Linked DNA regions of Drosophila melanogaster. The protein of the gene in region 1 interacts with the protein of each later gene in a pairwise test. Each region holds a gene or a part of one and is shown in the gene's direction. Other genes may lie near its edges. The genes, in order: RpL3, Vlet, CG4896 and Hecw.

Region 1 (7,890 bases):
TTCTTGGTGCGAGTGTGCCGCAGCATGTGGATGCGCAAATTGTGTGACATGCGGAACGCCTGGCCGCACTGATCGCACACAAAGTTCGGCGGCTTGGCGCGTAGCTGGGCGCGCCGTATAAGATTCCTCTCTTCTTTGGTCTTTGGGTTGGCACTGCGCTTCGGTTTCTGTTCACCAGCTGCCTTTTCCTTAGCTTTGGGCTTACTCGCGATTGGTGCTCCCTTCCTGAGTCTTGCTTTTTCCTTCCCTGTATATTGATCTAATAGCTCCTTAAAGATCTTGGCCCCCAGAGCCACACTGAGTGGATCCTGGGCGGCGGGCGATTCAGCGACTTCGTCGACTGCCTCTTGACTTGTTTGGTCATCTGATGTCGCTTCATCTTCAACATGATCTCCACCTGCATCTTCAATCTCTTCCACATTAGTGTTCTCCGTATCAGATATCAAATCGTGATCCGATGATATTGGATTCTCATTCTCAGCCTCGATCTGCACTTCATCAGTTGAGGGCTTGGCTTGGCTGAGCTTGAGCTCGGTGCTGATGCACATCTCCCGGAAATCGATGGCCTGATCCAGGGCCGATTTACACGCAGGGCACATGAGGCGCGGCTCGTCTGGTTTGTGACTGATCTAAAAGATTTTTGACGCAATACATGTTATTTTGCTCTATAAAATGTACGAATAACCAACCCAGACACCACTTATGACTTCGATGTGAAAGAGCAGGACACTGTTGGCCGGGTCAAAGAGATCCTTGGCCCTGAAGTCAGCGGTGAAGTCATTGTAGCATGTGCGGCACTTTTGCAGCTCTTCCAACTTTTCCTCGCCCGAAAGTGGATCCAATTCCATGGTTACAGTTTCCGATAAATACACACTATCCTGCTCAAATGAAGTAGCCTCCGGGTGGATTAGCTTGGCCTCCTCCTCCGCCAATAGCTCAGCCACTAGCTCCTGGTTTCTGCGGCGCTGTGACCTCTCCTTACGGGCTCTATCCGATCCACTTTCCTGGCTTTTGTTCACGCAGGGAACTGCACCTGGTCGCAAAGTGCGCTTTTTTGCCAATCCTGAGCGAAAGACAAGGACTCAGTTGGACATTTTTAGCGGCTCACACATGGAACTCACCCATTTCGAATTTCAGGGATCCCTCGATGTCCTCATCCTTGAAATGTTCGATGCAAATGCAGGGATTCTTCAATTTCAAGGACTCCTCCGTGTAGCCGCAGAATGCTAGCCAAGCCTTAAACGTATCCGGGCACTTGGGGAAGCGGAAGAAGCCCAAGCGTTGCTGCTGAGCCGCATTCCTTTTGGAGCGGCAGTCAGAGAAATTTCGGCAATTGGGCACGGCACATCGCATATTTTTAGAATAAAGTGCGCAATGTTTATATTAAATAATCCGGCAGTGTGACCAAATGTTGCGCTGCCACGATGCCAACAATTCGAGGTGGTTACATCGATGACGTCACAAAATGCAACAGTTATTTGAAATTGCAAAATTCAGAAAACTACGTTTATTTGATGTTCTTACAAAAACTCTGCTTTATTTAACCCACAAACACACACACACACACTGTATTTCATTAGTAATTGAAAAAAATGTAATTTTTTTATATCAGAATAGCAGCATTTCGCAGTGATAACGTTGTATTCTTTTATTTGATTTGATTTTCTTGCGAACCAAGGAAAACTTTTGGGTAATAATGGTAGCGCATTTCTATGTCCACTTAGTATTAATCTAGCGAAAAATACAAGTATACGTACATGGATAAATACATATGAGTAACTAAGCCTAAACTACACGATAAATATATATTAAGGAGCGCACGATGAGCAGTGGAGGACGGCACTAGTTTTTGCCCTTCTCCACACGGCCCGCCTTGACTCCATTGAGCTTCGGTTTGGTCTCCTGCTTGGCGGCGGGCTTCTTGGACTTCTTTTTCTTCTTCTCGAAGGCGCTGAAGTCAACAGTGTCGGAGTCGTCCTCGTTGCCGTACTTCTCCATCAGGCGGTCCATTAGGGAGCCAAAGTTTGACTCGCGCTGATTGCGACGTGCCAGGATCATTTGCTGCAAATCGCCACCGTTGTCGGCTAAATCCTGGTCGTCCTTCTCCTTCTGGCGGCGCTTCAAACGCTCCTTGATCACCTTGGCCTCCTTGAATTCGCGCGCGTACTTCTGGTGGCGCTTCTTGCGCTTGGCTGCCGGCTCCTCGGTAAAGATCTTGTACTCGGGCACCTCGCCGCTGGCAATCATATCCTGAACGATCTTCTGAATGCGCGGCTCGTCCTCCACCTTCATGAAGGGCACATGGTTCATCAGATAGTTGATGCAACCCTTGCCGCCCAGATACGCCTTTTTCAGATCGGTGCGCTCCAGCTCCGATTCCACATACTCCTTTTCATAGTTGTTGATATCCTCCTCGGTGATGGGCTTGAAGATTTTGCTCCACAACTCCAGCCACGACGACAGCTTGGACTCGCTCTCATCGTCGTCGTCGATCACGCCCTGCTCGTCGTACAGCGCCCGCTTCTGCGTGTCGGTAAGCACCTGGTAGAGCTTCGATAGCACCTTGAACTTCTCGGTGGACTCCGCCTTCTGCTCCTCCGGCACTCGATCGGGATGAACGAGCAGCGAGAGCTTGTGGTATGCCTTCTTCACCTCCTTCTCGCCGGCGCCCCGGGCCAGCTCCATTAGCTTGTACACATCGCGCGTCCCAAAATACTTTTCGCACAGCTCCAGCGTCGACATTGCTAATTTCGTATTTTGTATTTTTATTTTTCGCACCAACACTACCAAACGCAAAATGCGCCAAAACGCCGCGCCAGTGTGGCGGTGCGTGGGGCAGACAAAAATTCCTTTGTTTAATGGTGCGAAAAAATCTTTGATTTTCCTGTTTACAGCAATTTGGTTATTATTTAACAAGTAAAATGGTATTCTATGAATTTTGTTTTAACTATTGATAATTTTTGAGAGCCTGCGTGATAAGTAACAAAAATAAATTGGAGAATTGAACATTTCAGTGCTGCACAACATTGCATGGTTGGTGTCCCAACTAAAAAGTAACCCGTGTTAAGAACGTATGAGGGTGGCATCCCTCAAAATCCATGGCGAGCAGTGTTACCGTACTGCGAAAAGTGACCTTAAACCCATCTCAAAAAATATACCAAACGTGTATTTCTCAGCAAAGTTACCACTGGGCACACTACACACTATATAACGAGACGGAAGTCGGAATCGTTTCTTTTCCGTTTTACACGTCTGAAGAGAACAGACATGGTGAGCATCTCGATCGGATAAAATAAATTATATTACTATGTGATGTGTCAAAAAGATGGATGATTGCAAGTTAAATAATTGATTAGTTTGGAAACAGTAGCGTTATAATCACTCTAAATGTAACTAATACAAACAAAGCGTAATTTTAATGCATAATTTGCACTTGCAACATCCACGTGTTCACCTAACCTCAAAGTGCAGAAACGCATTGTGCTAATGGATTTTCTCCATTCATTTTGCAGTCTCATCGTAAGTTCTCGGCACCCCGCCATGGCTCCATGGCCTTCTACCCCAAGAAGCGCTCAGCTCGCCATCGCGGTAAGGTTAAGGCCTTCCCCAAGGATGACGCCAGCAAGCCAGTCCATCTGACCTGCTTCATCGGCTACAAGGCCGGCATGACCCACATTGTGCGCGAGGCCGATCGTCCTGGCTCCAGTAAGTACCAGCATCCACCTCTATCAACTAACAACTACTTTCCATGATGAGTATACTAGAAGATTTATGGTTAGAACACATATGATTAACCGTGATTATCTCAACTAGGGCGGACTGACCAAGCCCACTCTGTAGATGATTTCTCTTAGGGAATACCATTACTCGGTATTAATGGCTTTTCTTTCTCTTGCAGAGATCAACAAGAAGGAGGTGGTCGAGGCCGTCACCGTTCTGGAGACCCCGCCCATGATTGTGGTCGGTGCTGTCGGCTACATCGAGACTCCCTTCGGTCTGCGTGCCCTGGTCAACGTTTGGGCCCAGCATCTCTCCGAGGAGTGCCGTCGTCGCTTCTACAAGAACTGGTATGTATCCGAGGACCACGTGGTCGTTCTTCCTACTCCATTTGTCGCCATTTTCTTTGCACCGGGTGTACACACACACAAAATGGCAGCCGACACGTGCTTTCTACTCGAGTCTGGATGATGAAACGATGGTATCTGAATGAGCAAATTATTGTTGAGAAGCCTTTTACCATCTGCTGCCTTCCTTCTGATCGGCCTCTTAGAAAATAAGCGATTGATTTTGCTGCAATACAATATCTATTGTTTTTTGAAGTATAAATCAACCAGTGCGCTGTTTTGTGTGTGTGCGAACTTCCGATCAACAGTGATTCCCTCGTGTAATATAGACCCCTATTAAATGTAAAACAAAATCATAAAGTTCTTCGATCAGCTTGCTGAGAGAGCTTTTCAAATCGCTAAACGTTGTGTGAGCTGTCAGGTTAATCTTGATCATGGGGCGCACAAGCAAGCCCCTGGTTAATTGAAATTGCCTGACGAGTGAGCATGACAAGGAAGACTGCATCTCCGCTCGCCATTCGTTTGCGATGAGGCGCACTTCCTGTTCTATCTCGCCCCACATAAACAGCGCGGCTAAGAAGTTGGAGTTGTTGCGACACCCCAATGGATTGCTACATTACGCTCGTTTCTGACCACTGCGTCTCCAACTTGACCATCGTCCATATCAGGTACAAGAGCAAGAAGAAGGCATTCACCAAGGCCAGCAAGAAGTGGACCGATGATCTCGGCAAGAAGAGCATCGAGAATGACTTCCGCAAGATGCTGCGCTACTGCAAGGTGATCCGTGTGATTGCCCACTCGCAGGTAAATATCAATTTCAATTATGTATTCCATATTTCCCGACGTCCTTGGCCTTGTTGCGCCACTGGTGCTGGGTCCTCGGGCTCGGTGCCTTTGGTGCGCCTGGCCTAAAAAGCATTCGCGCTGTGGTTTTCAATGCACGGTTTAGGGATGCAACGTCGCAGAGCAATCTGCCCCTCGGGTGGCGGGACTTGATATATTCCAGTAACGGTGCGGAGCCGTTCAGGCGATGATAGCGCGGTTAAACCATATCACGTACAGTCCCAATTTCCAATACCACAAGGTGGATGAAACTAACCTGTTGTGTACTTTTTCTCTATTTGCCTGTAGATCCGCTTGATCAAGCAGCGCCAAAAGAAGGCCCATGTCATGGAGATCCAGCTGAACGGCGGCTCCATCGAGGACAAGGTCAAGTGGGCTCGCGAGCATTTGGAGAAGCCCATCCAGGTCAGCAACGTCTTCGGCCAGGACGAGATGATCGACTGCGTTGGTGTGACCAAGGGTAAGGGTTTCAAGGGTGTCACCTCGCGTTGGCACACCAAGAAGCTGCCCCGCAAGACGCACAAGGGTCTGCGCAAGGTGGCCTGTATTGGTGCCTGGCATCCGTCGCGTGTGTCCACCACCGTGGCCCGTGCCGGTCAGAAGGGTTACCACCACCGTACCGAGATCAACAAGAAGATCTACCGCATCGGCGCTGGCATCCACACCAAGGACGGCAAGGTAAGCACCAGTACCCATTATTCCCACCATTCCACTTTAATCGGGCTGTAGAAGAAATCTGTTTTTGTGATGATAAAACCTTAAAAATAATATCGACATCGAAACAAAAAAAACTTGATGAACCATGATATTTATAATGATAGGACTGATAACAGATCTTCAGCTACATAAGATTAAATCCTGAATCCCCCTGCCGCAAGACCACAGTAATCTGATCCAGAATGTATCGCTTTGCTTTTGCAGGTCATCAAGAACAACGCCTCCACCGAGTACGATCTGACCGACAAGAGCATCACGCCCATGGGTGGCTTCCCCCACTACGGTGAGGTCAACAACGACTTCGTCATGATCAAGGGCTGCTGCATCGGCTCCAAGAAGCGCATCATCACCCTGCGCAAGTCCCTGCTGAAGCACACCAAGCGCTCTGCCCTGGAGCAGATCAAGCTCAAGTTCATCGACACCTCGTCCAAGATGGGTCACGGTCGCTTCCAGACCCCTGCCGACAAGCTGGCCTTCATGGGACCGCTCAAGAAGGATCGTCTCAAGGAGGAGGCTGCCGCTACCACCGCTGCTGCTGCCGCCGCCACCACCACCAGTGCTTAAACAAAATGTCGTGTCCGCGTTCAATTGTCTGCTCGCTTCTACCACCAACTGCTGCGGTAGGGCAGCGATCAATAAACAGATTTTGGCTAAGCTGACTCATTAATCTTTTCAATTGCATCTAATGGGAAAAGACCACGTCACAGATTTTACAATCGATTAATGTTGATTAGGAGGTGGAATCATTAGTTTATTTCTCATGATAGTTTAATATATGTACATACCCAGGCTAAATTGTTATTTATTATACCTCCTTAGAGCTAAAAGTAAAATAATATTAGGACACTAGTAAATAGTTTATCTACAATAAAAGAGTACCACCAAACTTAAACACTCGTAGAACATTTATAGCAAAAGAGATTAGAAATCGCCAATTGAGTTCGATGTGATTTGCTAGAATAATTGGGTGTCCTCCGGATCAGCAGGTTAGCATCGTAGTTCCTACGGAGAGCATTGCTACAATGCCACTGACTCTTGGCAACTGATTGTCCGTAGTCTATAGTTCTGCTTTTATATGACACTCGAGTATGGGTAAACTACTCCATCGTGACCAGACATTCATGGGAATGCAGCTGTAACAATACTTGGCTACAATTCCTCTCCGGTTACTTGGTAAAAACCCCCCACAGCTATCCTATAAATAGGGTACTTTGGGTAGCTAAGCCTCAGTCCAAAACCAACGCTGAAGATGGCCATTAAGTCTCTGATTTTGCTTACTTCCCTGCTGGGAATAAGCCTTGCAGCGGACTATTGTGCTCTGCCCACGTGCCTGGACAAGCACATAGCCTGCAACAACAAGGGAGTAAGTAGTGATAGCTGGCCAAAACCTGTTGGTGCTCACCCATTCTCGCCCAGAATTTCAGTGAAAATTGTCCCAAGGACGTGCGTGAGGTGAAGATCGAGCCGCACCACAAACTCATCCTCAATCTCTTCAACGAGTTGCGCAACAACGTGGCTGGAGGCAAAATAGAAGGACTACCCAAGGCTGTTCGCATGGCCAAGATGTCCTGGTGCGAGGAGCTCTCCCATCTGGCCTTGCTGAACGTAAAGACCTGTGAGTCCCTGCCAGATAAATGTCGCAGCACCGAGAGATTCGCCTACGCCGGCCAGAACAACGCCGTGTTCCAGTACAGCGGAGCCGAGACGGAGTACACCGATGCGGAAATAATAAAGGAGCAGATCGAGAACTGGTTTGCTGAGCGCTCGAATGCATCTCCCGAGATCCTCGCCAGCTTCCCGGAGGAGCTTCCCAACAAGGCGGTGACCAAGTTCACCATCGCGGTGGCCGAGAAGAACACCCATGTGGGATGTGCCGCGGTGCGCTTCTCCCGGGACTTTTACAACCACTTCGTACTCACCTGCAACTTCGCCACATCGAACATTGTGGGTCAGCCTGTCTACACTCCGGGAGAGAAGGCAACCACCGGGTGCAAGAACCGTTATGGAGCTGCCTACGACTACCCCAACCTGTGCTACGCCAAGGAGATCTACGACAACGAGAAGGTCATCGAGAACACACAGACGATGTAGGCATGGAATGGACTTCGATTGATGGGACAATGGAATTTGATTAATATGTAACATTTTAGTTTAAGAGTGCTAAAAGAATAAATTTTAATTATTTATGTTTGCTGTAAGTAACGGATTTGTGCTATCCAAACAGCTGTTTGCCCAGCAAGTGGGCAGCCCCCTTTATACACCCTGT
Region 2 (5,988 bases), on another chromosome or scaffold:
AATCGTAAAAGTTGGCAAAATGAATTAAAAACACTTGTTACCATTACTCATGGCTGGTTAACGCCAACTGAGCAATTGCAGATTGTGTAAGTCACAATTAGTCTTTCGCATTTTTCCAGTCAATATATTTCACCCTGATTACTATTTGCTACGGCAGTTTTTAAATATTTTAAAAACCTTTCCGAAGTCTATAGTTCGTTGAATTTATTTTAAGTACCGAACGGTATCATTTAAAAGGGATAAGTATGGAGCTCAAAAGTAAGTGCAATTATTTCGTTTGTCAAGAATGCAAGAAATAGCGATTAGAAATACGAATACTTGCACCTAACATGCCTTGACAGAAATGCTTGGCTTGAAAATACCTTTAATTTGCGTGTCAGGTGAAAGTATTCCAGTTTGTCCAACCACCACTCACCTGCAATTGCACCTGGAGCTGCGTTGGCTTCTGCCAAAGCCCCACAACTGCCATCGGTGGGCGAGGTGATGGACGCCGCCTGGGTGCGGGCCACGTTCGTTTTCCGGCGCTGGATGAGGTCCTTCTTCCACTGCGGCATGTCCGGCAGGAAACCGGAAGTGGGCGACATCTCAGCTGCAGCTCCCAGGCCAGATCCTCCAGCTGCTAATCCTGCTGGCACATCCGTGTGTAAGTCCAACGAAGGCCGCTTCTGTGACTCCATTATCCCCGTCTGCAATAGGCATTATTCGCAGCATTAATGCATGTCAGCCGTGTCCGCGGTGTCTGTATCGCAGTAGTATCCCCTATATAGTGTGGCACACTATCCAGCTCTACATCTCGACCCAAAGACCAAGTCTGGCGGACTGACTGGCCCGAAGCTGGTGCCAATTGCAAGTGCCCGGTGCCCAAGCTCCTCTACGAAGCAAAGAGGCGGGCATAGCCGACCCAAAAGATTGGCCAACCATGCAAATTATATCCAATTCAAGAAACTATCTCAAGATTCTCAGTTTACTCGACCAGTTTTCGAGATGAACCAATAAGTGAGGGTATAAATATATTCTAATAGACAAAAGTACTGTTTTTTCAATATATGTATATTACATGAGAAGGGGAGTAAATACTTTAATATACATTTAACAAAAAATAAGCTACGATAAACACAAGCTGAAAATGAAATATTTGTCATTGCAGCAATTATTTTCTGCTTATGTAGAAATTTTAATAACAAAGTCTAGATAAAAAATTGAATCATTTTTATAAAATCGCAGCCTGTAGAAATCTAAGTTAATAAATAATAATAATAGTTATGACTGTAAAACTCGCAGCTGTTAGCAGAAATTCTATTTCAACAAGTGTATGGTTCTATAATATATTTATAATTTAACATTTATCTTGGAAAATAAATAAGATGAATATCTTTTGAGTAGATAAAAGGTGATTTCGAATTCGTGGTGGCGATGGCATTTAGAGTTTTATTTTTCTTAATTGGATTAACTGCTGTTTTTACAGCCCGACAGCAAAACAAAACGTAAAACAAAGGTAAGAAGCGAAGAAACCCCAATATTTTTCCAGCATAAATATGCTAAACTGCCATAATGAGCGGAAAATGCGATAAAACCGAATATAGAGAGGAAAATAACGGAAAAGAAAAGCGGGGAAACTGAAACCAAACGATTCTTTTTATTGTTTGGCTAAAATTGATTGCATGGCTAGATTATTGCTGTTGGAATTGGAATTGTTTCTGTTTTTGCAGCTTTGCCTTTTGCATGCCGCGATAAAAAGTATTATTTTTAATTTCCCGTATCAGGCGTATGCATGTGTCTGTGTGTGTGTGTGTGTATGCATCACACGACTCCGCCGGAGAGAGTGTGAGTGTGTGCAAGGGTGGCTGAAAAGGGGAGAGCGATAAAAAGGGGCTGCAAAATGCAGACGAAGCATAAAATAAACAACCGACGACGCGCTATCGATTTTTACGGCATGCTGGAAGCACCAGCACACTGATACACACAGTTTGCAGAATAGGGAAATAAACTGGAAGTTATGCTATGCCAAATTGAGTTTTTTCAACAAAAATTCCTCGCAGAGAAACGCGAAACGAACTAGTGGAAGACTAAAGAGCCGGGTTTTGTTTATTTACACAGGAACAATACAATCGCACGCAGCCAAAGACACACATACGTATACCACATACACATGCATATATCCCGACGCACTGTTCCGTTAGTTTAGTTGGGGTTTTTGTTTTTCTCGGGCTTTCGCTGAAACCTTAGCTTGAAATCCTTACTTTTAAGATGCTGACTATTTTTTATAATCGGTGGTTGGTTTTGCTTCCAATTTTCCGATCCCGAGTTCCGTTTATCATCCGCTCCGCTGCGCCTGTTTACCCCGCTTTTACACTTTTCCGTTTCGCTGTAGCTCAACGAACTCGTCGCTCTCCTTGCTCCGCGCACTTGTCAAGCTTTCCCGACTGCAACTGCACTCGAACTCGGGGCGTGGGTGCACTCGCTGCGCCTTAAAAGTGCATCTTTCGCAGCCGAATCAGCGGAAAAATCTGCATTAAGTTAAGCCGCGTTTCCAATACACAAATACTGCTTATCGATTGTTGGCGCTATCGAGCGGAGCATCGATAGGCATCAGCGGAGTTGCCAGGTAGGACGATTATATTAATGAGTTGGAAAACTATTCGTACTTGATAATCTTCTACAAATTGAATCGTCGATCGTCGGTGCCGTCGACAATCTGGTATTGATATTTGCTGGTGCGGCTTTTTTTCACGAATTTTATTTTGCAGGAAACATAACAGCAAATATTATTTAAAACATTGTAATTTTATAAGGTAAATTATTCAGGCCTAAATACAGAAAAATAAATTAATTTAATAAAACATTTAAATCTAAAAAATTAATAAAGAATATGTTTAAAATCACATCGCAAAATGTAATATTTTTGTATTTTAGTCAGCACTTACCGTTATTATTGGCAGTAGTAACTGTGTGGCAGCACCGCACCGTGGCAAGTCGATAGTTTTTTGTATATTGTTGGTCTGTATAAACAAATAATATTAAAGTCATAATAAAAGAAGTGCTGGTAAAGACTTAATAACTCTATGTTCCTTAAAAATTTTTAAATATATCTCACAATGAGCATTAACTGGATAAAGATCACGGAAAGGTATGTAATATCAATGTTCTTATAGAGATTAATTTCTTGCATTTATATCTTAGAGCCCGTGAGGGCATCAAAATCATCAATGCCTTGCCCTACGAGACCTTTACGACGGTTCTGTTCTACACCCACCGGCAGATGAGTCCCAGCGTAGCATCGGCGAGTGCCACCAGTAGTACAGTGGGCACCAGTGTGACGACCACCGGCCGGGTGGACAGCAGCACCGAGGAGAACCCCACAAGTAACACCGAACCGGAGTACACACTCGAGGAACTGGAGCGATTGGTGGGCGTACCGCGTCAGGACTTCCTGCTGCTGATCAAGACCTTCTCCTACATCCTGCGTCGCATCTCCACGTTTATCATCAAGCCAAGTTTGCTGCAGCGTGAGCTGCGCGAGAAACTCCAGCTGGAGGATGAGGCCAAGATCGATGCCATATTGCGTTTGTGGGTGCGCGAAACGACGCCCATTATGAACAATTTGGCCAGCAAGCGGTACGAATCAAATGTCATCGAAGATGTGGCCTGGAAGCTCAACATGGAGATCTCCTCGCATTGCCAGCAGCGGGAGAAGACCCCGCTGGCCGTGCTCCAAATGAAAACGGCCGTCGGCGAGGATATCAACATCGAAATGACACAACCGGAACTAATGGAACTGTACAATCAGTTCGAGAGCATCCAGGGCGAACTGGACGCCATGCTGGCCATGAAGACTACAGGAGCAACGGCGCCTGGCAATCAGTAGTGGGACGCCATCGACCAATTCCAGTGCCAATTTTATTGTTGATTCACACAAAACTCTGTGCAAAAAGATGGACCTAAAAGTATGCAATACTAACACGATCGTAGCCAAATGTTAAACACGTTTTTTTTTGTTTAATTCAGTAGGGTTTTTCCTATGTTCTGGCTAATTTTCCGAACGTAGCCAAATTTTTACTAGAGTAAGAGTTCGGCTTTGATTTATAAAACGTTGCAATGATTAGGATCTTCCAAACAGGACTAGTTTTTAAGTTTTAGAACTTACCCTCTGCAAAATAATAAATCCTTTAATAAATTTAGATAAAACAATGTGTGGCACATTTTACAGTACACTTTAATGGATCTCTGCATGCGTTTTACTCGTCTGCTCCACCTCGGATCATAATTCTACTGATAAACATTACAAATTATTACAATGATATATATTTAATATATGTCTATATTGTATATGCATATGTTATTCATCGGCCTTAGTATGCGTGTGTGTGTGTATAATGGAGTCGTATATTATGTATGCATTATACAGACTTTCTAGTTTCATCTTCTCAAACTTTTGCATAATTATGCATATGTATTTATTGTTATTACGGGAGGGCGGGGATTTTGGGTTGCTTCGTATTCAAATTAGGGGCTTCGTTGTATTTTTCACTAATCTAGAAGCAAAACGATTTCTATTGCACTCTTTCACAGTTCGGTTAATCATTTCAACTAAGTTTGGACAAAATACAAATGTATGCAAATTATTTGGACTACAATTTTCATTAAAATGTATTGCTATTGTTACATTTAGTTGTCGTGTGTGTAGGTGTTGTTATCATTTTTCCTTTTTTGCTTTGGCACCGGCTCCATTAACTAGCCCTTAACTTGGTTGTTAGTTAGTCTTCAGTTTGCGTGGGATTCTGTTTAATTATATTGGTTTTTCGTGTAAATGATTATCGCCTTTCGAAATGCGTTGGTCATTTGTTCCTGTTGTTCTATTTGTGCTGTCTGTTTTTGAGTTGTGTTTCCATATGCACTTCATTTCAATTTTGTATAAATAAACCAATAAATAAGTTCTTTCGGGTTAGAAAATTTAAATGATCATTTACGCAAGCACTTAGAATCGAGCTAGGATAAATAAAATTACACAGTGTTAAACTATTTAATATATACAACAATTTTATCGATTCAAGCTTGCTGAATTTCCTTTCGCTGTGAGTAACATCGCATGCCGATTAAATCAAGTGAATATGGAAACACGACTCTTTTCTCATTGTGTGTTTATGTTTAAACATTAACTTCGGTGTTTTTCATTACTTTCTGCTGATTGGATTGATCACCAGAGCCCGCTGTATTTGACCTATATAAGTAATAAGTGTGAGCGCCACGTTCAAATGAGGAGAATGCAAGGTGGTGTTCGATTTTTTAAATAAAAACTTGATATAATTAAACAAAAATCAATGTAGCACATACATACACAGTTTACGCTTTGTAAAAAGTTACAAAAAATTTAAACACAAAACAGACATAAAAAAAAAAATAATACGAGAAACTAAAAATTGTACACTACATCTCCGACGGTTGCAGCAAAATGTTTTAACATTTGTTTAAAACTATGTAACTCAATTATTGCATTGTGTTTTTGTGTGAGTGTATGAGTGTGTGCGATTTATAGTTAGTTTAGTTTAGATCTAATATTAGGTATATGTTTATCAAGTATTTATATATATAATAATATAAAAAAGTAAACATTTAGCGCTTTTAGTTTGCTACAAAAATTTGCTCGTCTCGCTCACATATTTCAACTAACATTAGGTGTACAAAAAAATTGGAAGATATATAGTTTATATCAAATTGTGGCTAGCGTAAAAATACAATCAGTATTCCAGTATTTAGTATTGCCGTCGGTTTGAAGCGGCAATTGCGGTTACATTGTACGCCGATTCCTCGTTATCTTAGATATATATATCTTTATATATATATAAAATGTATAAATTGATGCGTGTTCGTTCTGTTTGGCGAGATTGCTGCATTCCCATTCGATAGATCGCGGTGTAGAGTATATATATATATATATATCCAGTAGTATCCAGTGTAGTACACATATATCCAAGTATAATATCAAGCGTT
Region 3 (9,749 bases), on another chromosome or scaffold:
AGGAGATTGCCAGCGGCTAAAACTTCGCGTTACGAAACACAGATGCAATCCGGTGACTGTGTAGAGTGTGAATGAAGGCATCCTAGCGATCGGTTACTAATCCGCAACCTTTCCTTCTCCTATTTCCATGTCTGGCGCACCAGGGCGTTCTGAAGTTAAACGACGAGCGGGTGAGCATGCGGTACAGCCACAAGCGAATTCAGGACTGGAACTGCAACAAGGTAGGTGCACTGAGATGATCATATTCTTAATGGCGAGTAATGTGTTTCGCTTGTTCCAGTGTGGCGTCTGCAACTTCAAGTTTAGATTCTATTGCTTTGTGTGCAAAACATCCCGGGAAGACAGCGAAACCACCTTCTCCTCCGGTAGCGAGGGCGTGGACGAAGTCAGCACCATCCTCACCAAAAGTATACAAACCACATAGACTCTCTTGCCATCTCGTTTTGTAGCTTCGATCGCAATGAAGTCCAACAGACCACTGACCGCCACGATTTCTCTACCACTTCCCCAATCCACGCAGAGATCATGCTACGCAACCTGGACGCCCTGACCAACGAAGAGGCTGTGCTCACTGCCCTCCAACTTCACCTAAAGGATCTGAGCAAGACCGTGAGCAAGGTGCTAATTAGTCGGGATTCCTTGACGCAGGCATCGCGTGGAATTTGTTACCTTCACTTCGACACTCTTGTCGACTCGATGAATGTGCACAATGCCTTGACAGCGCTGGATCCTCCACTTACCTTGGACGACAGAGTTGGTATGTGGCCTTAGGTGCTTTTTATAACTTAAATAATAACCAATATTTCATCCAGTGGCCATTACCTATTGCATCGACTTGGAGGAGCAGCAAGCATTGCCCAAGAACCCTAAAGAATTGGCAGTTAAAGATTCAACTGTCAATAGCGGGAACATTTCAGCAGTTTCGCCCTCAGGATTGGGTGGAAACTATACTCTGGCCGATGTGCCACGACTCGCTGAATATAGTGCCTCCCTGTACGCTTCGAATCCCGCAGAGCACGCTTATTATGTCCAGTACTATACGGAGTACTACACGGCAGATATAAACAAAAATAACAGGGATTCCCATTTGACGGAAGCCAATTCCGGAGCAGCGGTTGCCCTCTCGGCCATCCAGCGCAAGCAGAAGAAGATGAGCAGTATCGAGACCACGATCACAGCGGCGGCCACAGCTGCCGCACAGGCAGCGGCGCAAGTGAAGGCCACATTGGCTGCTCAGGTGGCCAGTGCGCCCAAGGGCAACGATGGAAAGATATACCGTATGTCGCCACTCACTTGAGTATGCTAGCATTTTATTATGTTTCATTATGTTGCAGCCACTCCCGATGTGACGCAGTACCAGTATGATGAGACATCCGGCTACTATTACGACAGTACCACGGGTCTCTACTACAATGCCCACTCGCAGTACTACTATAACAACGAGACGGGCGCGTATCTTTACTGGGATCAGCGCAGGAGCACCTATGTGCTGGCCACGCCCGCCTCCACTCAGGCAGCTCTGCAGGAAGTCCTGGCCGACGCCGAGCAAAAGGGGGAGGAGGAGTCCAAAAAGGCGAAGGAGAAGGAGGGTGGAAACAAGCACGACAAGGTTAAGGTGGCGAAGAAGATCGTCAAGGACATGGAGAAGTGGGCCAAGCAGCTAAACCAGAAAAAGGACTACACAGCTGTGGCCACGCCACAACCAATATTGGCGAACGAGGTAGCCACCACTTCGCGTGGCAATCAAGGGGGATATGCTGATGTGGGATTCTCCATTCTCGAGAAGAAGGAGAGGGGCAAGTTAAACGACTATGCGCCAAACCCGACTGTGGGTCCAATGAACAAGCTTGTCAATGCCTATGGCGGAACATCGGACTCTGAAGAGGACAATGCTGCGAGTTCGCAAAACACACAGAGTTCAGCGGTTGTAAGCGGCGGAGGAGGTGCTGAAGAGTCCGATTACGTGGACTTCCATAAACTGACATGCCTGCTCTGCAAGCGTGCCTTCCAATCGTTGGAAATACTCCAGAAGCACTTGAAGATGTCCACTCTGCACAAGGAGAACCTGGCCAAGCTCAATCAAAACACTAGCAGTAGCATCGAAGAGGCACTAGCGTAAGTGAAATCGCGATGTGTGGTGGAGTATATTATCATTGAATTCATATTCTTTCCCAGCTATCGTGATCGTGCCAAGGAGCGCAGGCTGAAGTACGGCGAGAGCGATCCTCCCCCACCAAATAGGAGCAGGGAGCGATTCGAGCAGGAGATCAAGACACTGCAGTCGCGGCAAAAGCAGTCTACTAGCGCTACTCCAGCCATGCCCATCAGTTCGAGCAACGTGGGCAGTCGACTGCTCCAAAAGATGGGTTGGTCGGAGGGACAGGGACTGGGCAGGAAGAACCAGGGACGCACCCAGATCATAGAGGTAACTGAGCTGACGGCAAGCTATAAAATGAATTAAGAAAATTAAGCATTTTGGGTTCCCTCAGGCGGACGGACGCTCCAATTACGTGGGCTTGGGCAACAAATCGGGACAGATGATACCGGGCAACGACTACAAATCCTATATAAAGAAGATGATGAAGCAGCGCTACGAGAATGCTTGAGAAATTGGTTTTTAGCCGTTTCACATGTTTCATTTCAACTAAAGTCGCCGTTTAATTCAGCTTTTCAACCGAAGCAAAAATTATTTCCATATTATATATGAAGCTTCTTGAGCATTGTTTTCCTAACAGATTGGCGTTTTTTTAAGTCCACGAGCAAGTGTGACCGTTTAGTTAATAGTTTCTGATTAAGCGAATTTAAATCCTTTTTCGAATGTACAAAATAAAATGTAACGGTGTAAAGTTTAAATTTGCTTGGTGTTGGGAAACAACTGTTAGCTGGCACTTGGTAGCCCTGGAGCTATCGGTCAGTTATCGATAACTGGCAGTCAGATACTTCGGGTGAACGGCAAAAAAGAAGACCGAGAATTTTTCTATTCGGGTTTTTTTTTTTGGCCGGATAACTGATTGTTTCTGCCTGAATGCAAAGAGACTTCCAGTTCGGGAACAAGTTTAACCAGCTTCCAATCCTGTTACAGTCGTGGTAACCAAGTAAGATGTGCGCACATAGACGGTTCATCTAATGGCAAAAGGCCAAATCACAAACACTGCATTTAATTACAATCGATTCGCATTAGATATGGATTCTCGATATGGTCACAGCTTCTCGGGCGGCAACGGAAACGGCAGCGAATCGGGCTACAGACGCTACAGTCGCTCCCGATCCCGATCCAGGTAGGTAGTCCTTTGTCCACCTGGAGCCTCTTAGTGGATTACTACCAATTGCGATTATTTCAGGGAACGAAGTCGGGACCGCAATGAGTACAGACGTCGCAACTCCCGTTCGCGCAGTCGGGAGCGGTCCTCACACTATAGAAACGACCGCAGTCCGGATCGCGATCTGTACCGCGACCTGATCAACGAGGATTACGAGGATCAGGGAAACTACAACTCGAGACAGAACCTTGACCAGCGCCACGGCGAGGACAAATACGATCGTCGGCATGCTGATAGCCAGGGTCGCAGGGATCACGATAGCAACTACGACAAGAGTGGCCAGGATATGGATAAGGACCGCGATCACCGCTGGAAAAACTACGATCGCGTTTCGAGAGAGCGCAACCATGATGACTTCGATCGGGGATCGGAGCGCAGCAGGTAAGAAATGATACATATTGCATATTACCCATATCGTGCTCAGTGTTATCACTGAGATTAAGATTAAGCTAAGTTCTATGTTTCCATTCACAAGGCTTCCATAAGAAGGAGGACTCCTCTTTCACTAGTTTAAAAGACCTTTCATTTGCTAATCACTTGTAATAAAAGTCAAAATAATTAGAAATCAACCCATTCAGTAATGTACACTTCCCTTTGTTCGCATAAATGCATACAAATCATCTTATGAAATATTCATGCTGGATGCCTTTAATTACAGTGGATAGTATGCAAACGATGGTTTCAAACGAACCGAACGAAAATTTATTCGACAAAGTGCTCATTGTATGACCTTAAAGAATCGCTTTCCTTTCAGCCGCAGCAATGACCAGCGGCAGTTCAATAATAATGGAAATAGTAACTCCAGCAGCAGTTACAGAGATCGCGAGAAGGAGCGCGATCGAGATAGACGGTGTTCCTCGGACGAGGACAGCGACATGGCCAGCGAATTCAGGCAGAGAGGTGCCTACAACAGTGGCAGCAGCGTTGAGCCCTTGAACAACATAATCCTCTTCGGTCTGAAGAAGCACGTCACGGAAGCAGACGTAATGTTTAAGCGATAAGCAGAACGAATGTAAAATTAACCAAGTAATCCTCCACAGATCATGGGCGAGCTGATCAAGGTCGACCTGGAGCCCACATCCATTCGCGTGATGAGGAAGCAACAAACAGGTGGGTTACATTTCCGTGTGTTACATTCGATTTAAAGTGAAATTGTAGAGAAAGCGTGAGTATTGCGTGCCCAGCAACATGTTCGATGTAGGACTTATAGCAATTTCAATTATACTTGGCTTCGACATCAGCAAAAACATATAGAAAACTACAAACCGAAACAAAAACACAATCCCCAAAAATGACACAATGCTAATGATACAACCAACATTTTTTGACCAAACATTTTCGTATCTACTTCTATCTAAAATTTAGGTGCCTCACGCTGTTTTGCATTTGTCGAGTTTAAAACCGTTGAGGAGGCGACTCGTTGGATGGAGTTAACCCAGGTATCCCTAAAAACCACAAGAATCTTGAATCTTCTCGTATCCGCCAAAATAGAAATGACGGCAAGATCCGATAGCTTGGCATCAACTGTTGAAAAATGTGTGCCTTGAGTTCAATTCTGCTGGTGGGCTGCCTGTCCCTTCCATTTTTCTGTCTTAGATCAGGGAACTGAACTCAAAGGCGGAATCGAATCTTACGTAAAGGAAGCAACCAGCATCTGCGTGATGTCGAAAAACACAGATGCAATCTTGGTGACTGTGTAGTCTGTGAACGATTTGCCTGATCAGCAGTTTCAGTTACTAATTCCAATTTTACCTCTTCTATTTTTCCGTTCAGGGAGTCCTCCAACTGGGCGATCATCGTGTCACCATGCAGTATAGTCACACTCGCATCTCAGACTGGACTTGCATTAAGGTATGCTCCGTTAAGATACAGATTGGCAACAATAATTAGCTTTTTTCGCCATCCTTCAGTGTGGTGCCAGCAACTTTAAGCGCCGCTTCCAATGCTACATGTGCAATGCGTCGCGGGCGGAGAGCGAGAATGCTCTTTACGGAGCCGGCGAGGGCGTCGACGAGATCAGCCAAATCCTCACAAAAAGTATATCCACCATGAGCAATATCTTTCAATGCCGTTTCCTAGCTAATCAGCTAAATACCCCACTAACCTGCCACGCTTTCCCCATGCAGAGATCATGCTTCGCGGCTTGGACGCGCTGACAAACGAGGAGGGCGTGCTAACTGCCCTTCAGCAGCGCCTGCCCGAACTGGCCAAAACAGTCAGCAAGGTGCTGGTCAGTCGCGACGCCCTAACCAATGCATCTCGGGGCATTTGCTACCTCAATTTTGACACACTCATTGATTCTATGAACGTGTTCAACGGGCTGACGGCGTTGGATCCGCCACTCACTCTGGACGACAAAACAGGTAAATTATTACTTCTTAATTATTTCATAATTAAAAAACAAAACTTTAATCCATGCCCTTCAGTTATCGTCACCTACTGCATTGACTCCGAAAACCGTCAAATGATGCCAGCCGAAGGCAACTTTTTTAGAGCAGGTGAAACAGCGATGTCTCCGTCGGCCATTACGGCGGCCTACACTTTGGCGGATGTGCCTCGTCTTGCGGAGTACAGTGCATCCGTGTATGCCTCGAATCCGTTGGAGCATGCTAACTACGTCCAGTACTATACGGATTATTACACGACTGAAATAAGCAAGAACTGCAGAGATCGTCAAGTGACGGAGGCCAACTCCGGCGCTGCCGTTGCTCTCTCGGCCATCCAGCGCAAGCAACGGAAGGTCAGCCAGATGGAGACCACGGTTTCGGTGACAGAGGCGAAGGTCGCCTTCCTTGCCAGGGGTGAAAGTGCTCCCAAGGGGAATGATGGCAAGAAATACGGTAAGTGAGCGCACACTATTCTATCTATGCGCTCCTGTAATGTCGAATATTTCATGCTCAATGGTTAGATACTCCCGATGTGTCCAAGTACCAGTACGACGAGACCTCCGGCTACTACTACGACCACGTTACAGGACTCTACTATGATGCCCACTCGCAGTACTACTACAACAACGAGACGGGCGCGTATTTGTACTGGGATCAGAAGCGGAGCACCTATGTGCTGGCCACACCCGCTTCCACTCAGGCAGCCCTCAAGGAAGTATTAGCCGATGCCGAGAAAAAGGAGGAGGAGGCCAAAAAGGCAAAGGAGAAGGAAAAAGAAAAGGAGGAAGCTGGGGGGAAGCCCGACAAGGTGAAGGTGGCCAAGAAGATCGTCAAGGACATGGAGAAGTGGGCCAAGCAGCTAAACCAAAAAAAGGACTACACAGCAGTGGCAACGCCGCAGCCTATCCTGTCGGATACTGAGGCGGCCACCACCTCCCGTGCTTCCCAAGGGGCATATGCTGATGTGGGATTCTCAATCCTTGAGAAGAAGGAGCTTGGCAAGCTCAACGACTATGTACCGGAGGCAGGACCTCCAGCGATAAGCAAATTGGTTGGTGCTTATGGAGGACCTTCTGACTCGGAAGATGATAATAGTGCCAATCAGAAAGCACTTGAAGCTAGCGTTGGGACTAAACGAGCCATTAGCGATGAATCTGACTACGTGGACTTCCAAAAACTTACTTGCCTGCTCTGCATGCGTGCCTTCCAATCGCTGGACATCTTGCAGAAGCATTTGAAAATGTCGAATCTACACAAGGAGAATCTGGACAAGCTTAAACGGAATCCCGCAGTTGAGGCTGGCACGGATGAGGGTCTATCGTAAGTGGGAATATGCTGCTAGAATGGAGATAAACTCACTAATTTACTTACCCGTACTTAGCTATCGTGATCGTGCCAAGGAACGCAGGCTGAAGTACGGTGAGAGCGATCCTCCTCCACCAAATAGGAGCCGGGAGCGTTTCGAGCAAGAGATAAAGACTTTGCAGTCGCGCCAGAAGGATTCTTTTGGCGCCACTGCAGCCATGCCCATCAGTTCGACCAACGTGGGCAGCCGCCTGATGCAGAAGATGGGCTGGTCGGAGGGCCAGGGACTGGGCAAAAAGAACCAGGGACGCACCGAGATCATAGAGGTAGGAGTCGACGAGGGCGACGAATGGCAAAATATGGATAATTCAATGTCAATGTGTATCCACAGGCTGATGGTCGTTCTAACAACGTGGGGCTGGGCAACAACACTGGCCATATGGCGCCTGGGAACGACTACAAATCCTACATCAAAAAGATGATGAAGCAGCGTTATGAGAACGCCTGAGACTCTTCTTAAAGTGTATGATTTTATTCCGCTTGAATATAGGGGCATTTAAGCATTGTTGTTTACCTCGATTACACTTCCTCCACCTTGTCGCGTTCATTTAGCATTAGTTGCGAAGTTCAAATTGTAAATAGTTCGTAAATACAGTCTCAAATTAGGTTTAAATTTAAATTGTAAATGCTTTAAGTATGGAATTGTGCAAGGGAATCTAAATCTCGTCCATGTAGCCATGCTCATAGGCGTGACGAACGGTCTTGAAGATCTCCTGGTTCGCCTCATCGCCAGCGATGTCCAAGGACAACTGGTGGAAGGCGGGGCCGTGCATATCCGTCTCGAAGAGGCGGGACAACTCGGCGCAATCCTTCTCGGTGCCGAGCAGCCAGGGAAGGAAGTGCATGCATACCATTGGTCCGTAGAAGGCATATCGTTTGAAGTGGGCATTGAAGCGTTCGAAGCTGTATTCCTGTAGCAACTGGTCCACCCGATCGTCGGTCAACTCGTTCCGGTTTCGGCGCAGAACCAGTTCCAACATTTCGATCATGCTTCGATGGTACTTGCGCAACAAGTCGGCGTAGATCTCCTTCCTTCCTTCGGATGGCGTGTTCATGTACATAAAGAAGCTCAGGTCAATGGCCGTAGTGCTGAAGCGCAGCTCCTGGAAATCGATGGCTTTGATAGCGTCCACCTTATCTTCAGCGCCGTAGTGGAACAGCACGTTGTTCCTGTTGTAGTCGCCGTGCAGAAAGGTGGCAAAGTGGCTGTCCGGTTGATCTTCGGCAAAGGAGCTGGTGCGGATTCTCTCCAGCAGGAGAGTTGGCTGCTTGAAGTACTTCTCCCGCAGTCGCTCGATGGCGGCCCCGAATCCGGGGTCTGCCCCCTGGAGGAGCTGCTCCTTTTGCCGGTCGTAGAACTCGTAGAACCGATCGAAAGCCACGCGATAGAGGACATCAAAGATGCCCTTTCCTGAGCTGGACACGAAGGGCATGTCCACCACTCCGGCGCGCAAACGAGCATGAACGTTCGGCTGGAGGATTTTCGTGGCGTAGCCCAGAGCATGGAACGGACCCACTAGTCCTACCATGGCCTCCAGCTGATCCCGTCGAAGGGTTAGCCTTGGCCCCAATTGGTAGCCATCGCCCTTGAGATGCTTTAGGGCCAGCACCGATTCCCTACCATTCCCTAAACCTGCAGAAAAGTAAACATTCGATGTAGTCATGGATAAAGTCTTTGTGGGATGCGCACCTTCAACGTGGCCAAACCTGGCGAAGTAGCAACAGGGAACCCAGTTCTTTACCACTTCGCTTTCCAGGTGACTCGTCCGAAGCACATTCTCATAGGCGGGCAGGATCTCGGCGTAGGCGAAGATCTCGTTGGAAAACTGGATGTACGAGTTGCTGCTCTCCCGGAACTCTTCCGTTCCCTTCATGAATTTGACCAGGACGACCTCCGTCCGCTTGCGCTCGGCGATGACCACGTCCAGCGTAACGGTGTACAAGGCGGACATGAAGCCGTCCAGTCCATTGGAGCACTCAACGCTGTGCGATTCCAGCGAAGCACTCGGACCAAAGTTCTTGAAGATGTCGTACACCAGGTGGCGCTCTATATAGTCTAACTGCTGCTGTTGCGTCGACATCGTGACCTCCACGCAGGAATCAATTGCTATCTGAATGGGTAATCTTAACTGACAATATACGCAAGTAGGTGTATATTTGTCCGGGCAACCAATCAAAGTGGTATCGATAGCCACGCGCAGGATTTTGGTATATTCCCGGTTTCAGCGAAGTGGTCACACAGAATCGCGATTGAAACGTGCACCGCCGGCGTATTGCGCGTAAACATAAGACATTTCACGGGGAATTTTCTGGACTTTGCTAACTCAATGGGTCCCAGCCACATTCCTCCGCTGACCTACAAGGTCGTGGCCGAGTGCTCCGTCTCCAAAGCCCGGGCGGGACTGATGACCCTAAGGTGAGCGTCTGCAATAAGATAGGCCTTGAAAACTGTGACTAAGCCGCATTACCAACTCTCCTAAACAGGCACAGCGAGGTAAACACCCCGGTCTTTATGCCCGTGGGCACTCAGGGAACCTTGAAGGGCATCGTGCCGGACCAGCTCATCGAGCTGAACTGCCAGATTCTGCTGGGGAACACCTATCACCTGGGCCTGAGGCCCGGAATCGAGACACTGAAGAAAGCCGGTGGTCTGCACAAGTTTATGGGCTGGCCCAGG
Region 4 (7,366 bases), on another chromosome or scaffold:
TCTTGCTCAGGTCCCTCTGGACCCTCCGGATGATAGATGACCTTGTAGGAGCCACGGATCGCTTTCACCATTCCCGAGACCAACTGCTCGGTGATATCCATAATGTCAGCGTAGTCGGCATACGCCATGTAGAACTCGCACGTGGTGAATTCAGGATTGTGGGTGAGGTCGATGCCCTCGTTGCGGAACTGCCGTCCGATCTCGTACACACGATCGAGTCCACCCACCACCAGCATCTTGTGATACAGCTCCGGAGCAATGCGCATGAACAGATCCATCTTGAGGTCATTGTGATGCGTCACGAAGGGCTTGGCAGTGGCTCCACCGGCGATCATGTTCATCATGGGCGTCTCGATCTCCAGGAAACCCAGACGATCCAGGAACTGACGCACGTACGAGATGATCTGCGGGCAATGGGAGTAGTTTTTGTTATATTCAGCTTAAACTCCTTAGTTCAATTCATACCTTGGCACGGATCTGGAATTTCTCTCGCACATTGTTGTTGAGAATGAGATCAAGATAGCGCTGGCGGTAGCGCGTCTCCTTGTCCTTCAACCCGAAATGCAGATGGGGCAGCATGTGTAGACAGGGCGATAGCAGCTTGATCTCGCTGGGCATAACGGACAGTTCACCCTTCTTGGTTTTGCCGGGATGTCCGACAACGCCGATGATATCACCACGTCGCAATTTGGACGTATCGATTTCGAAATCCGCCTCCGACTTGTAGGACTTAGCGCTGGCCATCACCTGCACCTTGACGCCCTCGCCGCGCAGATCGTAGAAAATGAGCTTGGCGCCCGACTCGCGTATGGCATGCACGCGCCCAGCCACGCTCAGTTTGACATTCTCCAGGGTCTCGCCCTCCTTGAGGCTGTTCTCGTACTTGGCAATGAAGTCTTCCAGCGAGCTACTCACATGGAACTTGTGTGGATAGGGATCCGTTGCGGGTGAACGTTTCAGCTCCTGAACGGCGGCGGAGCGCAGCTTAAAGTATTCATTCGGCGAGATCTCCTCCTCCTCGGCGGCACTGCTCTTCTTCTTGCCAGCAGTATTTTCCGCCGGCGCAGCGGCCGCCTTCTCAGCCTTCTCCTTGGCCTTTTGCTCGGCCTTCAGGCGACGCTTTAGCTCACTGTGGACGAAGAGAAACAGTTAGGGTATTAGCAGACAATGGAGATGTTGCCACAAGGCTGTTATAACCACGCATGGATATATATATATATATATCCAGCCTGGCCAACGGTGCGTATTAGTAACCCACAGTTTGGTCTGCTTGCTTGGCTCCATTTGCGGAGCGCTCACGTGGAAACCGGCGGCAAGTGGCTGAATTCCGGTGTATCTGCATCGGGGCCATGACCCCTGCACGGTTCTAAGGGCGCAGCGGGCGAACATGGTTATTTTAAGCAGCGTATTTCATCAGCAGAACTGCACACATGCAACATAAATAATGCGAACTGGAACGTTGCCGCTTCGCCCTAACCTACAAGTGGGGCAGCTACGTTGACCGGATTTAATGCTTGCGGTCAAATGGATACGCTTTGAAGCCTATGGCACTTACTTCTTGGACAGTTCTCCACTTGCAGCGGCCATGCTGATGCGGTTACGTTGTTCGCTGTTTAATCCCGGGGTCTCAGAAGCGATGGAAACCCAAAAGAAATGCGAATGCGAAAGCGCCACAAAAGTAAAAAAAAAAAAGTACACGACCAGCGCTGCCAGATGGGCATAAATCGATGCAACTGGCTTTGCCGCACCAGATGGCCAGTCTGGCGCGAGGGCATTTTTACGCCATTGACATCTGGTCACATTGCACTAGACCCGAAATATATATTTTATTTAGCTTTTGCAATATCCTTAAATTAACAATTGATCAACTAAAGCCACGGCCTTGCGGGCAGTGAGCACAGCACAGCACGGCCCAGAACTGGACTCAATGGCTGGAGGACGCGAAATGCTCCGGTCGGAAGGCAGCAAACATCAGAACGCCAAAGTAGAGCAACTGCAGCTGTAACTGTAACTGTTAACCCTGGGTTGGTCGCGGGGGCGGGGTGGCAGTGGTGGTTGTGGACCAGGAAGAGGAAGAGCAAGGGTGCTGGGAAAGAGGAAGAGCACATCTTGAGGCCAGGAGGCAAACGAGCCAATGGAGCCACCAGCTGCACCGGTACCCCTACAGCCACTGGCAGCATCTTCCGCCTGCCTGGCGGACAGGAGTCCAGTGGATCCCATTGCAGTCAGACTGCAGCAGGAGGAGCAGGCAGAAGGAGATGACGAGGAGGAGGAGGAGGAAGAGGAGGACGATGATGATGATCCCAAAGAAGAGGAGGCCTTCTACGAGGCGCGCAACGGCAACGAAAGTGACGAGCTGGAACAGGCCTTCCAGAGTGCCCTTACCCTGACCAACGATGTCCATGTGAGTGTCAGCGAAGTGGAGGAACATGAACCGCCCTTGGCATCGAGAAATCAGGAGGTGGCAGAGGTGGAGGAGCAGCAGCAGCAGCTGGGGGCCTGCGCACTGCCGCAGCCCAGCGAAGCCTGTAAGTAACTTGAGACTGACGAGCGAGTTCATCCACTCATCCACTTGGTTCTCTTAAAGCTCTTACAGGCTCAAAGGAGACCAGGGAACCGCGCCACCACCAGACGCTGCTTTCCACCAAATCTTGCGAGACGCCGGCCAATAATGCCACGCTCTCGCCGACCAACTCCTACAATGGCAGCATTGGCAGCGACGGCGGCAGCAGTGTGGGCGGTGGCGCCCGCCGCAAGTCCTGGACCCTGTCGCCGCAAAGCGGTGGCTCCACGCCCCTGAGCGGAGCCAAGAAGAAGACCAAGACGGGTGCGCCAACCACAACACTGTCCAATGCTAATGGCGACGGTTTTAATCTGTGGGTGGCACGTGAGTGCTTCGAAACAGTGCCCGCTGAAATGGTGGATACTCTGAGCATGGCTGAAGTGGACGAGGAGGTGGATGAGGAGGAGGACGAGGAGGCGGCTGCCGTGGAGAGTCTTCTGGGAGCCGCTGCTGCCCTCCAGGCCAGTGCCCATGTGCAGCGCCGTCAGCAGCAGCAGCATCACCAGCATCTTCGCCAGCCCTCGCCACCACAGCATCGTCCGCTGGAACGATCTTGGCCGCCGCGTGCCGTTGGTCGGGATCTGAAGCTTCAGGGCGATGTCTTTCAGTTCGACATCCTGGACACGGACGAGCGACTGGCCGAGGAGATGGCACAGGGCAGTGGGAGTTCGAATAATTCACCCCTGGCCACGCCGCCTGTGCGCTTTAAGCCGCTGCTGAAGAAAAAGATTGGACCCGATAGCTACATCAACACAATTAGCACACAAAAGGTGCCGGTCCACCAGAGCTATGAGTTCCCCACCTTTCCAAGTTCCTCGGCAGTTGGATCGTCATCTTCGTCGCCGAATAGTCTGCAATTTCCGTATCTGCGCCAGCACCGTCCGCTCACCCGTGCCCTTTCCAATGGCAAGGCCAGTTCATCGGAGGAGCAAGCCTCCCCACGCCTTCTGCTCTCACCAAAACGTCCGCGAAGTCCTCCTTCCGGTTGTTCCACGCGCAGTGCCTCTCCATTGGATATCAGCCTGAGTCCAGAGCAGCACTCGCCCACCAGAGGCAGAGGAGTGGGTGGTGCTCTGCAGGATGCGGTGCCGCCCGGAACTCCAACATTCCATGGTCAGCGACCGCAGCAGCGGCTGCTCAAACGTGTAGGCGGTGGAGCAGGAGCTGGTGCTACGGGAGGCGCAACCGGCTCGCCATTGGTATGTCCACCAACGCCTACTCACCATGCCCGTCGGCATGCCCGCCTCCAAGCCGTCACTGCCAATTCCAGCCTCGCCAGCGGAGGAGCGATCCCCTCGGATCCGCCAGCCGTCTCTAGTCAATTGGATTACATATATCTGCAAGATGGTGGCCAGGAGCAGGGTCAGGAGCAGTCAGACGAAGTTGTGCACATAAGCAGCACCCGCCTGCCCTCCATTCCAGAACGCAGTGCAGCCGCAGCAGCGGCGGCGGCGGCAGCAGCAGCTGGAGCCGCTCTCATGGAACCCGGAACGGGTACGGTATCCGGGTCTAGTGGAGCTGGAGCCGCTGGAGAGCCACCATTGCCGCCTGCTTGGGAGGCGCGTATGGACAGCCACGGACGCATCTTCTACATCGATCACACAACGCGAACAACCTCATGGCAACGACCAGGAGCGGCGCCAAGTGGAGGACCAGCAGGCAGAGAGCAACATCATCGCCAGCAGCTGGATAGGCGGTATCAAAGCATCCGACGCACCATTACCAATGAGAGTAGAGCTGCGCAGCTTTACAACCTGCCAACCTCGGCGAATAGTAATGCCAATTCCACAGCTCCAGCTGCTCCTCCGCCCGCCACGGCTATACATCCAGCCATCCTGATGCTCTGCCGCCCGGATTTCTACTCCCTACTGCACACCAACGAAGCTGCACTGGCCATCTACAATCGCAATGCCGCACTAAAGCACATGGTCATGCGCATCCGACGCGATCCGCCGTGCTTCCAGCGGTATCAGTACAACAAGGATCTGGTGGCGCTGGTTAACACATTCGCCCAGATGAGCAGGGAACTGCCCTCGTGCTGGGAGACCAAGCTGGATCAATCGGGCAAGCAGTTCTTTATTGATCACCAGCATCGTCGCACCTCATTCATGGATCCTCGTCTGCCGGTGGAGTGTCCTCGTGTGGTACGCCATCGCCAGCAGCATTCGCAGCAACAGTCCAGTGTGGGCTACTACTATCCGGATCTGGTGGATGGCAACTGCCTGTCCGCCACCAGTGGGCATATTAACGCCAGTCCAGCATCATCGGTCTCCGGTGTACCGCCCTTACCTCCACCGAGACCCTCATCGTCGTCCTCCTCGTCCAGAAGTAGCCATGGACATGGCCACAACTGCAACACAACGTCAGCCATCTCCTGTGCCCTCAACGCCGACCGTTCGGCGTATGGTGCCGCTGGAATGGCCAGCGCTGGAGCCACTGCAGCCGGGTACGAAGATGTGCCCATCGCCTACAACGAAAAGGTGCGTTTCGCGTTTCGCTCGTTTAACAAATGTAAAATCTTGAACTTTCCATTGATTACACATATTTCTTTTCAGGTCATTGCCTTCCTGCGCCAGCCGAACATCCTGGAGATCCTGCGAGAGCGCCAGGGCCAGCACACAATGTCCCGCCAGTTGCGTGAGAAAATCAATATACTGCGAGTGGAGGGTGTTCCCGCACTCGAAAGATTGGGCCATGACCTACAACTGACCATTTTGCTGAGGTGAGTGATCTGATTGCAATAGAAACTACTAGATCACTTAACATGACTATGGATCGTAGCGGAGATTATAGATAGATTGATATCGTCTATATCCAATTCTTGTTCTTTTGCTAAGTCGAATTATACTCGAATTATTCCGCCAGCCAGACAGTTGGAGGTAAACCCTCGGAACTGGCGTGGTGCTAATGAACCCACTGCCATATAGTCCCGCTCACATGACGCACCGTTGGCCGTCAGGCAATGGCTCCACCTGCACTTGACGAAGGTCCCACACCAGGCTAGGCCGTATCCATCTGGCCTGAAATTGCATTGCTGCGTCATTTTCTTGGCTCGAATCAGTTTTCGGTTTTGATTTGTAGCTGCTGGCTGATTCGGTTAGCTTCAATCGATTTTGGCGGCGGTCCTGGTTGAGTGCACCGCATATGAGTGCTGCTAGTGGGTTTAATTGTTTTTGAAAACCGTATCGAAGGTCGCTGGCTAATTTTCCAAAACGCCAAACGCGCGTCCAACAATGCAAGCGGACTAAGCCAACTACCAACGGCAAGGCAAGGCTAGCACTTTGCCATCGTCTTGGCTTTTAATCCCATTGCTTATTGTCTAATTGACCGTGTTTATGCGAGAAATAACACAACGAAATCAATGTACATTTACCACAAAAATTGAGGAACTGCAGCACGTCAATTCGCAATGTAAGTTGCGCTGACCTTAATCTTAATCCCAATCTCGGCGGCAACAAAATGGAAATCGATGTTGAGAGATTAAGTCGCCGCCCCTCATTCTCCCAAACTGTCGATTACTACTCCACCGTTGCTGGCTGGCCACCAACCATTCTGATTCCCATTCCGATTGAGCCATTTAATTGCATTTCAATTAGCCAAATTGTCGCGCTTCATTGGCAAACGAGTGGTGGGAGTTTTTACTATGCAATCGTATTTATTCGAGTGCGAATACTTTGTACATCTGGTTGTTAAAGTTGTGGTAATCATAATAAATTTGGAAGAATCCTGCGAAAATTTGACGCAAGATTCCATTTAATATCTTTAAATATTGCTGAAAATCAAGACGCTTCCTAAAAATTTATAATTTGATTGTATATATTTTCCCCTAAATGAAATCCACTTAAAAACAAGCAAGTTCAATAGAACTTTAGGCAATGATATGCACTACATACAAGAAAAAATCAAGTAATAAGTAATTTGATTAATTGCCGTTTTGTTAATTAGTTCAGCACCTTTTTTTTTAAACGAAACGAATGAGTTAATTTGTAAGTTCATTTAAAGCATATTGCATTGCGCATAGTGACACCTAACGATCTGGTTAGCGAAAGTATTTACACAATCTTTTGCAAGCGATCGCAAAAGTCGGGTAGCCGTCGCACATGTCGCACTTGGTGTATTGGAAATACGGAGCGCACAACTCCGCTACCGAGATCAGAATCCGCAGCCTCAGACAATCTGCACTTGGCCATTAGTCATCCGAGTGGCGATGAGGCAACACCTCGCCCACCCAGCGCCATCCCCCTTTTTTTTTTTTTTTCATAGTTTGAGCAATTAATATGCCCAACAACAACAAGAGTCAACAAATACACGCGTTTAGTTATCTACACATTTCGCCAGTTGGCTAAATGCCTAAATGCTTTTGCCGGTGAATTATAAATAGCTGAGTGGCTCTTAAAATATATACATATGTATGTATGTGCATATATATATGTATGGGTTATATATGTATATTTATTGAGCGATCTTGGGGCATTCCGACTTTGCAGCAGCCACGCCTCCTTTTCGGTGGCAGAGCAACGCCCTTCAGCTTTAGCAGCAGCTGCCCCATAAATTCCGCAGACGCCCCACTAATCCGCTAATGCCCCTCGCCCGGTTCACAATTTAACCCAATTCCAAATCAAGCATAATTTATAGCAACTCCAATTCGAATTTTGAGTCCCGTCCGATTCTAAGTTTTTTCTTTTTGCTTAGTTCTTATTTTTTTTTTTCCGGCGGAGGTGTGGCTGTGCCGTCATCTTCATCAGCAAGTTGTGCTACCTCATAATCATAATCATTATCATTATCATCGGCACCCTCGCAAAG

What was found.
Region 2: the proteins of RpL3 (region 1) and Vlet interact in a two-hybrid assay, tested with the Drosophila melanogaster proteins (one large-scale study listed by BioGRID).
Region 3: the proteins of RpL3 (region 1) and CG4896 interact in a two-hybrid assay, tested with the Drosophila melanogaster proteins (one large-scale study listed by BioGRID).
Region 4: the proteins of RpL3 (region 1) and Hecw interact in a two-hybrid assay, tested with the Drosophila melanogaster proteins (one large-scale study listed by BioGRID).

What each region holds. Positions count from the first base shown.
Region 1 is NT_033777.3:11,218,663-11,226,552, forward strand, and holds RpL3 (ribosomal protein L3), read left to right. Parts: upstream 1-3,231; 5' UTR 3,232-3,267; coding exon 3,268-3,270; intron 3,271-3,512; coding exon 3,513-3,705; intron 3,706-3,742; exon of another isoform or gene 3,743-3,898; coding exon 3,899-4,067; coding exon of another isoform or gene 4,068-4,188; exon of another isoform or gene 4,189-4,381; intron 4,382-4,425; coding exon of another isoform or gene 4,426-4,477; exon of another isoform or gene 4,478-4,732; coding exon 4,733-4,868; intron 4,869-4,908; exon of another isoform or gene 4,909-5,128; intron 5,129-5,195; coding exon 5,196-5,585; intron 5,586-5,645; exon of another isoform or gene 5,646-5,738; intron 5,739-5,828; coding exon 5,829-6,188; 3' UTR 6,189-6,511; downstream 6,512-7,890. Other genes in the region: CG6689 (uncharacterized protein), read right to left, coding at 1-629, 690-1,063, 1,122-1,353; CG6693 (uncharacterized protein), read right to left, coding at 1,843-2,742; scpr-C (SCP-containing protein C), read left to right, coding at 6,874-6,987, 7,041-7,715.
Region 2 is NC_004354.4:11,675,542-11,681,529, reverse strand, and holds Vlet (valette), read left to right. Parts: upstream 1-2,978; 5' UTR 2,979-3,095; coding exon 3,096-3,127; exon of another isoform or gene 3,128-3,180; coding exon 3,181-3,865; 3' UTR 3,866-4,186; downstream 4,187-5,988. Other genes in the region: bif (bifocal), read right to left, coding at 416-677. UniProt on the Drosophila melanogaster protein: Scaffold protein in the commander complex that is essential for endosomal recycling of transmembrane cargos; the commander complex is composed of the CCC subcomplex and the retriever subcomplex.
Region 3 is NT_033779.5:1,174,767-1,184,515, forward strand, and holds CG4896 (uncharacterized protein), read left to right. Parts: upstream 1-2,923; 5' UTR 2,924-3,095; exon of another isoform or gene 3,096-3,181; 5' UTR 3,182-3,183; coding exon 3,184-3,278; intron 3,279-3,341; coding exon 3,342-3,701; intron 3,702-4,074; coding exon 4,075-4,303; intron 4,304-4,360; coding exon 4,361-4,430; coding exon of another isoform or gene 4,431-4,465; exon of another isoform or gene 4,466-4,685; coding exon 4,686-4,759; exon of another isoform or gene 4,760-5,093; coding exon 5,094-5,171; intron 5,172-5,230; coding exon 5,231-5,357; exon of another isoform or gene 5,358-5,446; coding exon 5,447-5,683; intron 5,684-5,746; coding exon 5,747-6,160; intron 6,161-6,228; coding exon 6,229-7,027; intron 7,028-7,088; coding exon 7,089-7,338; intron 7,339-7,403; coding exon 7,404-7,520; 3' UTR 7,521-7,688; downstream 7,689-9,749. Other genes in the region: CG4887 (uncharacterized protein), read left to right, coding at 144-221, 281-407, 521-757, 813-1,277, 1,335-2,115, 2,176-2,425, 2,490-2,606; CG5126 (uncharacterized protein), read right to left, coding at 7,729-8,705, 8,763-9,153; Tgt (tRNA-guanine transglycosylase), read left to right, coding at 9,400-9,488, 9,557-9,749.
Region 4 is NC_004354.4:9,607,164-9,614,529, forward strand, and holds the start of Hecw (hecw ubiquitin protein ligase), read left to right. Parts: upstream 1-1,782; 5' UTR 1,783-2,134; coding exon 2,135-2,528; intron 2,529-2,587; coding exon 2,588-5,043; intron 5,044-5,118; coding exon 5,119-5,285; intron 5,286-7,366. Other genes in the region: LysRS (Lysyl-tRNA synthetase), read right to left, coding at 1-404, 466-1,129, 1,259-1,389.